Linked DNA regions of Mus musculus. The protein of the gene in region 2 interacts with the protein of the main gene of each other region in a pairwise test. Links are inferred from orthologs where the notes say so. Each region holds a gene or a part of one and is shown on either strand. Other genes may lie near its edges.

What was found.
Region 1: the proteins of Lrp1 (region 2) and Mapk8ip1 interact in a two-hybrid assay, tested with the Homo sapiens proteins (2 studies listed by BioGRID). The link is inferred for Mus musculus from reciprocal best matches to the Homo sapiens genes LRP1 and MAPK8IP1.

What each region holds. Positions count from the first base shown.
Region 1 is NC_000068.7:92,398,257-92,402,514, forward strand, and holds the start of Mapk8ip1 (C-Jun-amino-terminal kinase-interacting protein 1), read right to left. Parts: upstream 3,008-4,258; 5' UTR 2,871-3,007; coding exon 2,773-2,870; intron 1-2,772. UniProt on the Homo sapiens protein: The JNK-interacting protein (JIP) group of scaffold proteins selectively mediates JNK signaling by aggregating specific components of the MAPK cascade to form a functional JNK signaling module. Required for JNK activation in response to excitotoxic stress.
Region 2 is NC_000076.6:127,551,511-127,555,318, forward strand, and holds part of Lrp1 (prolow-density lipoprotein receptor-related protein 1 precursor), read right to left. Parts: intron 3,622-3,808; coding exon 3,438-3,621; intron 3,157-3,437; coding exon 3,071-3,156; intron 2,874-3,070; coding exon 2,754-2,873; intron 2,370-2,753; coding exon 2,182-2,369; intron 2,063-2,181; coding exon 1,857-2,062; intron 1,390-1,856; coding exon 1,201-1,389; intron 800-1,200; coding exon 651-799; intron 253-650; coding exon 159-252; intron 1-158. UniProt on the Homo sapiens protein: Endocytic receptor involved in endocytosis and in phagocytosis of apoptotic cells. Required for early embryonic development. Involved in cellular lipid homeostasis.

The DNA.
Region 1 (4,258 bases), on a different chromosome or scaffold from region 2:
TTTAAATCAGCTTCCAACAGATGCTCCCATCTCTCAAGGCCACACATGCTCACCCCTCCAAAGGTGCACCCCAGGATCCCAGGGCTCGCTCTCTTGGTAGCAGAGCTGAAATTTCTTGGTTTCCTTCTCTGAAAGCAGTGGTAGTACTAACCCATTCACATGGTTACAGCAGCACACACGCTTGGACCCACGAGGTTCTCAACACGGTGCTTCCCACTACTCTGTTCTCCAGGAGAAACGGCCCCGTGCGTCCACCCTTCATCCGTAGTAAACCAGCCCTGCTGAGCACCTGTTCTGGACTGAGTCGTGCGGAGAGCAGAGCACTGACATAGACTGCTTACACATCCTAGAAGCTCAGAGTAGAAATCACACACACACACACACACACACACACACACACACACACACACACACACACACACACACCTGAGTTCTAGAACCATCCTGATTAGGGGCAGACAAATTAAAGGAAAAACAAGGACCCAAAGGGCTTAAGTACGCAGTAGTGGTGGAGTACACAGCTTTAAGAACAGTTGAACCAGCCGGGCGTGGTGGCGCACACCTTTAATCCCAGCACTCAGGAGGCAGAGGCAGGCAGATTTCTGAGTTTGAGGCCAGCCTGGTCTACAAAGTGAGTTCCAGGATAGCCAGGTCTACACAGAGAAACCCTATCTCGAAAAACAAAACAAAACAAAACAAAACAAAACAAAACAAAACAAAACAAAACAAAACAAAACAAAAGAACAGTTGAACCCACAGCCCTACCAAAGAGTCACAAGATGGGCATCGAAGATCAGGGTTAAATGGAGCCAGACCAGTGGCTGCTGAAGCAGGACAAGAGAAAGGGCAGTGGGGGTTGTTGAAGTAGGCAGTAGGCCATGTAGGGCCCCACTGCCCAGTGTTATCTCCAAAGCCCGCTTTGTCTCACAGCTAGGGCACAGTGTCCTGCAGGCCAGCCCACTCCTCACTCAGCCTTTTGCTATACTGTTGCCCCCGCTCTACATAGCCCAGAGTTGGCCACACATTCCCTGGCTAGTAGCCTTCATCTTGGCTTCTCGGGCCTGTATGATAAACAATTTCCTGCCAGAATAGGGTGTGAGCCTACCCTGGGCCAGAGATAGGGCCTATAGGGAGAGGGAACAGAGAAGGCTGAGACCTGGTTTCAGGTTCCAGTCCTGACCTTCCAGTCAGATTTTTCTGTGGTTCCTAGGCTAGCCCCTCTGCCTTCCTTATCTTCCATCGCCTCAGCTCAGCAAAGGGCAGATTAGGGTGGGCCCTCAGGATGGTTGTGAAGGTTCAGTGAACTACCCTGGAGAAACACTTTGACAGAAACAAGCTGTACAGATTTCTGCCAGTGTGGCCGGCTACCTGTTGAACAGTGACTTGGTGCATACTGTCTCCTTCCCAGGCAGGAATCAATATTAATTAACCCACTCCACAGATGAGACCAAAGACAAAAGCAAGCTTGGATCAGGCAGCGAGGAAGCAGTGGAAACAGGATTCGAACCTCTGTCCCTCGCAGCTAATTCTCTTCCCCTGCAAAGGCCTGACCTACCAGGGAGAATCTGAAGCATTAGCCTGGAGGCTTTCCTCAGGTTTGGAACCATCCTCTGGCCCCCTCCTTCTGGTTCTCTCAGCTGGGTTTAGGGCCTCCTTGGAGGATTCAGGGCCTGATCATACCATTTAAGATCGTGTGTGTGTGTGTGTGTGTGTGTGTGTGTGTGTGTGTGTGTGTGTGTGTGTCTGTGTGTGTGTGTGTGTGTGTGTGTGTGTGTGTGTCTGCCCACCTGAGGACCTGGGAGCTAGAGACCCCTTCAATAGATGACAACTTGGCGCCAGAGCCCAGCTGGGGCCTGGCTGGAGCAAGGGTCCCAGGAGAGAGAAAGGCGCCTGCTCCTGATGGGGAAACAATGAGGTATGTCTCAGCTTCTACATTCTGGAGCAGTGACACCCTTCTCTTCTTCGTCACTCTCTCTCTCTCTCTCTCTCTCTCTCTCTGTGTGTGTGTGTGTGTGTGTGTGTGTGTGTGTGTGTGTGTGTGTGTATGTGTGTATGTGTGTGAAAAGGTGAAGAGAGGACAGTCACCGGTTCAACACATCATGCCTTACATCTCTGAAATTCATTCACCTGGTCTAACATCAGATGGAGGGGTGGGTCAAAGAGGAGCTCAGTTCGGTGTCCTGAGTCTTTACACAGTGGGGACCCCCCAACAGTATCCCTGGATATCCACAGGCAGATTCCCCTCCCTCAAGCAAATTGGGTTTCACTGGTTGAGGCCAATCCTTCTGCACCTGTCCTGAGATACAACTGACCAGGGAGCTGCCCAAATTCAGAAGACCCTGTCCAAGATCGCCTAGCAATCTGACCCATCTGGCCAAGCTAGCTGGGAGAGGGGTTCACGACTCTTCTTAAAGGACCAAGGGTTTTGAATTGGGGCCTCTGGGCCCCCAACCCCTTAGCCTACTTCCACCTTGGGTTAGATACCTTGAACGCGGCAGGATAAAGTCTGGGCGGATTGCTGCACCGGGAATTCCATCCAAACCCCAGACCCACTCCCGCCAAGGTGGAGGGGAAAGGCGACCTCCCAGGTTCCTGCCCCAGATCCACCTCAATCACCCCACCCCATGACACGGAATGGCAGAAGGAGCTGCGGGGGGCCACGCGGTGGCCACCAACCTGGACTGGAGGTTGTGGGGGCTGGGGGCTCGGCCGGGAAAGGACGCCGCCCTCAGGGTCTCCAAGGATCCCGAGGTTCCGGGCCTCGATCCTTACCTGAAATTGGGAGGCGACGCGATGTGCAGTCCCAGGAATGGGGAAGCGGCCGGTGGGGACGCGGCGCCCCCGCCCAGGCCGCTCTCTCGCTCCGCCATTCCGGGGTGCAGCCCTGGCCATCCGGGCGGAGAGCGGCGCGGGAGGCGGCGGCGGCGGCGGCGGCGGCAGCAGCGGAGGCGCGTGGAGGAGGCCGCCGCCGCCGCGGGGTTCGGACTGAGCTGGGGCGGGCGCGGCTCCGGACAGCGCGCCGCTTCGCCTGCGGCCCCCGCGAGAGCGCCCCGCGCGCGCCCCCGGGCCGGCTGGGGTCTTGTGGCCCCGCCCCCGCCCCGCCCCGCCCCGGCGCTCTCCGAAGTGCTGACGCTTCGATCCCGTGGCCCTGGGTCCCCTCGGCCTCCCTACACATCCCAGGGACATTCCAAGCACTGGCAAAGCTTTGCTCTCCTCAGAGCTGGACCTAGATCGAGGGCATCAGCGGATGGCAAGATCCTGCTCCCCAAGTCCGTCTTTGGCCTTCCACAGCAACTGGGGTAGGAAAAGGGTTACAGAAGATGGCTGAGAAAGGAGAGATGGTGGTGGAGTGGGGTCCAAGAGCAGTCAGCTATGGGGCCAGGTGACCTAAGACCACAGCTTGGTTCCACAAGTGAACAGGCAGTGGAGAATTGCATTAGTGACCTCATAGTTCCAAGGCTTGTCTTTCCCATGTGTGAAATGGAATATGAGCCCTCCATGAGCATGGGGAGGAAGAAAAACGATAGAAATACTTGTCCCTGGGAGCTGGGAACACCCACCTGTGCACTGGGATCACCTCCCGCAGAAATCTCTGAAGGCCACCTCTATCAAGACCCACCCTTTAGTTTTGTTTTGATTTTTGAGACAGGGTTTCTCTGTATAGCCCTGGAACTCACTCTGTAGACCAGGCTGGCCTCGAACTCAGAAATCCGCCTGCCTCTGCCTCCCAAGTGCTGGGATTAAAGGCGTGCGCCACCATGCCCGGCCTAAAAATGTGTAGCCCAAGCTGGCCTCCAACTCGTGATCCTCCTGCCTCTGCCTCCTTCAGCAAAGACCCCCTTGAGCCCTGACCACCCCTGATAACCTGAGTGATGCTTTTGGTTTCTTAGCCCTGTGAAGCCTCTGTATGCCAGGACTACCCCATCACTTGTTTTTCTTTCATTTCCAGTTTGTCCTGGAAGTTACCATGTAGCCTCAGCTGACTAAGAACTGATGACAATCTTCTTGAGTCTCCTGCTAAACTGGGGGATTAGTGTGAACTCCTGTGCCCAGTTCTCAGCACCTGTCTTCCCACTGCGTTTTCTATCTAGCACCCCTTTTGCACTCACACAGTCCTGAACTGGCTTCTCCTACCCTAAGGCCTAGGACCTTCCTCATCCCCAGGGCCGGATTCTTGAGAGCTTTGTGGTTGCTTCTGTTCCTTGCACCCACTCTGGGTCTAGCTGTGCTTTCTTCCTGGTTCTCTATTGGGTTTTCT
Region 2 (3,808 bases):
CACATAGGCACACACACAAATGCAGGCACACACATGCACACAGACACACACACACATAGATATACACACATGCATGCACGCACACACTAAAAAAGAAAGAGCAGGGAGCAAATAGGCCACTGAGGTCTCCATCCCTTGGGGGCGTCGAGGACACTCACGACAGTCTGGAGGCTCGTCTGAGTGATCCCCACAGTCGTCCTCCGTGTCACACTTCCACCAGAAGGGGATGCACTTGTCATTTTTGCACACAAACTGGAGGACAGGTGGGCAAGAGGGGTTGGAAAGGGTATGAGGAACTCAGAAGGCTTTCTTTCACGGGGTGGAAACGTTTCAGGGACATAGTGGGAGTTTGTGGGGTGGCAGAGCTGGACAGAAAGCAGGGCTACAATGGACCTAGGAAAGCCAGACAAGGGGGTGTCTGTACAGGGAGAGCATGGGAAGGCGAGGACTCTAGGTCCTCCTGAGATCAGTATTAGAGGTGTTTATAAGGTGGCAGTGTACAAGGATTGCCGTGAGGACACAAGAGGTAGGCAGGAAGTGTGCGGGTGTCGGCATGCCAGAGGTGCAGGCATTAGTGGGTGCCGGGAAACAGGAGTGTGGGGTCAGGGGATTGGGGTGTTGCAGCATGGGCATCTTAGGAGGAACTTCACCTGGCTTGCTGTGCAGTTGGACACACAGGTACGGCCATCGCCACCCAGATAGAAGTTGGTGGGGCAGGCGCATTTATGACCACCCCCAGGGGACAGCAGGCACAGGTTGCTGCAGCCACCATTGTTGACTTTGCAGGGGTGATTGGGCACTGCCAGGAGAAAGAGGTTGAAGGGTCATGGCTGCCCACTGGCTTCTCTGACTGTGAGGGTGGGTCCTGCCGGGAATGGTTTCCAGCCTTCTAAAGGATGTCTGGCCTCCTTGGTACATCTCTATCCTACCCTGAATATGTCTGCTTTCAGGGTTTCCTCTGATGCTCTTGGTCCACACTCACTAATCTCTGGGCTCTCTACTACTTTAGGGCCTGGCTGTCAGAGACCCCACATTGAGCCCAGGGCAGACTGAAGCTGCTAGGGGACCTATAGCCTCTGTAAGTTCGGGACCCAGCAGGAACGCTCAGTCAGTGCCGGGGAGGGAACCTGACCCTGGCTGAGAACAGGCCTTTCATGCTTGGACTAGGCTTGCCACTCCCCCCTTTTTCTGCTCGATTACCATCTGGCTGGCGCAGGGCGTGGAATACATGTAAGTCCATGGGCCGGTGCAGGGTGCTGATGAGGAGTGTTTTGTTGGCACCCGTGGTCTTGTGGGCCCGGTTGATGGACTTCGTTTCCCAGTCTGTCCAGTAGACGTAGTCTTCAAATAGGGTCAGCGCAAAGATGTGTGGGATGTCTTGGCTCAGCACTATGGGAGACACAGCAGTAGTGGGCACCGAGTACAGGCTAGGTTCTGTGCCTACTTGTCTTCCTTAAACCCCATCACAACCCTGAGATGGGAATGAATCCCAGGTCCTGATGCTTCTACGACTTCCTAAGGCTCAACAGCGATAGCTGTCCAGCAGCCATACCACTGCTCTGGAGTAGGTCACAGCTTCTCTCAGGAAGTGTGAAGCACAGGTGTTCTTCAGGAAGTCCTCATGTGCCCACCCCTCAGGCCATTATCCTGAGCTGCACAGGGGATAGCCCTTGTTCCTCTAAGGAGCTGGATTGAGGCCTGGAGTCTGGGCCCATCCCAGAGAAGTGCCAGGGTATTGAAACCCCAAGACCTCTGGGTTGTGGTTTCTGCACACTTTGCCTTCTTGCCACCCTAAACCCTTTAGATCCCTGCCCCCCAGGTCTGCTGGCCTTGGGCAGCCTCTCTAGCATACGGACCAACGTGACGGTTGGAGCCATCCAGGCTGGCGAACTCGATGTAGTCCTCACGGGCGTCAGCCCAGTAGATGCGTTCCGTGACGTAGTCCACGGTCAGGCCATTGGGCCATGTGATCTTAGTGTCCACGATGATGCTGCGGCCAGATCCATCCATGCCAATCCGGCCGATCAGTGAGTGGTCACCCCAGTCTGTCCAGTACAGGTACCTGGCAGGTGGGGAGCAGTGAATCCTAAGAGTCTAGAGACTGTTCCCACCAGGAGCCTGCAGGTTGTCCGGGCTTGGGTGTTTTCTAGGGCTCCCCCAACCCCTCTGCCCACCACTCACCCATTCTGTACATCCACTACCAGAGCTCTGGGCTCCCGGAGGCCAGAGCTGACCAGCACTGTCCGATAGGCCCCGTTAAGCTTGGACACCTCAATGGTATCTCTGCCCTTGTCACACCAGTACAGGTTGCCACCCACCCAGTCCACAGCCAGCCCATCTGGGTTACTAAGGCCCGTCCGGTGCAGAACCTGTAAGGAACACAGGGAAGGAGGAGCTGGTGGCACCCTCAGTCTCCGGGGCATGGCTTCTCCACTCTCCTGACCGTAAGTGGCTATCACCAGGAGCTCCAAGCAGGGGGTCTCTGGGGCCACCCACACACGCCTAGAGCACACAGAACTCAAGGGAAGGCAGGAGGAGTCTCCTGTGCTTGCATACTTTTGAGTTGAGAGGAGGGGAAGGTGAAGCGAGCAGAACGTTTCTGTGGCTCAGGGAGGAGCAGGGCGAAGCAGTGTTGACAGGTGTGAGAGAAGGGGAGACTCTTTTACAGCAAAGGACTATGGGGAGGGTGTGAGGCTCGTCAGCGGGGCCCTGGTGTGCCTGTCAGCCGACACGGGGCAGCCTTCTGTTTTCACCTGCACGTTGCTGCCGTTGAGGTGCATCCTGCGAATCATGCTGCCCTGGGTGGTCACGTCCGTCCAGTAGATCATCTGCTCTCGGTAGTCAAAGTCCAAGGCGACCGCATTGTTCAGGCCCTGGGTTTGGGATGGGGACAGGGAAGTCAGCTGCCGCAGGGGCACATGTGTATCTGGGGAAGGATGTCTGGAGTCAGGATGTGGCTGGAGGGAGAGGGAGAAGGAGACAACCATGGCCTGGCGGTGGGAAGAACTGGGGAGGCCATACTGGGCCCGGGCAGTCAACAACGGGTGTAAAGAAGGCTTGGTTTTGGCACCTGCTTAAGCAGTGTGTAGTTGGAGCCGTCCAGGTTGAGCTTCCGCAGGTAGTACCGGTTGGCAAAGATGAGAAATGGCTCCTCATCTGTAGGAGGAGGGTCTCGGCTCAGCTCCAAGCTTAGGTATATTCTGGCAGCTCTGGTACCCCAGGCTATCTCCAGCAGCCCTGGTCCCCCAGGCTATCTCCAGCACCTCTGGTCCCCCAGGCTATCTCCAGCACCTCTAGTCCCCCAGGCTATCTCCAGCAGCCCTGGTACCCCAGGCTATCTCCAGCTACATTGTATCAAGCCCTCTCCCTACCTGCCACCTGCTGCCCAATCCCACAGCTGCCTGAAATACATCTCACCCTCCAAGTGCCCGTCTCACCGGTCACAGCTTTGCAGCTGTGGGGGTCACCGCCACGGGGTGCATAGCCCTCCACACACAGACACTTGTAACTTCCGTGGGTGTTGATGCAGAGCTGGCTGCAGGGGAAGGTGGTGCTGCACTCATCCAGGTCGGCACAGGTCCTGCCATCGTCCTTTAGCCGGAAGCCCGGGCGACAGCGGCACTGTGGGGGGTAAGGGATGTGCAGCTGAGGAAGCGGCTGGAGTCTATGCTTCTGGGAACCAACGACGCCTAGAGGCCCTCAGGAGGGCTGGGGGAGGCAAGTGACACACAGACTGCAATCTGTGCACCCTGTCCCTCCGAGTTTTCCTCATGTGGCTGTCATTCTGTCTTGGTGGCTTCCCTAGCCT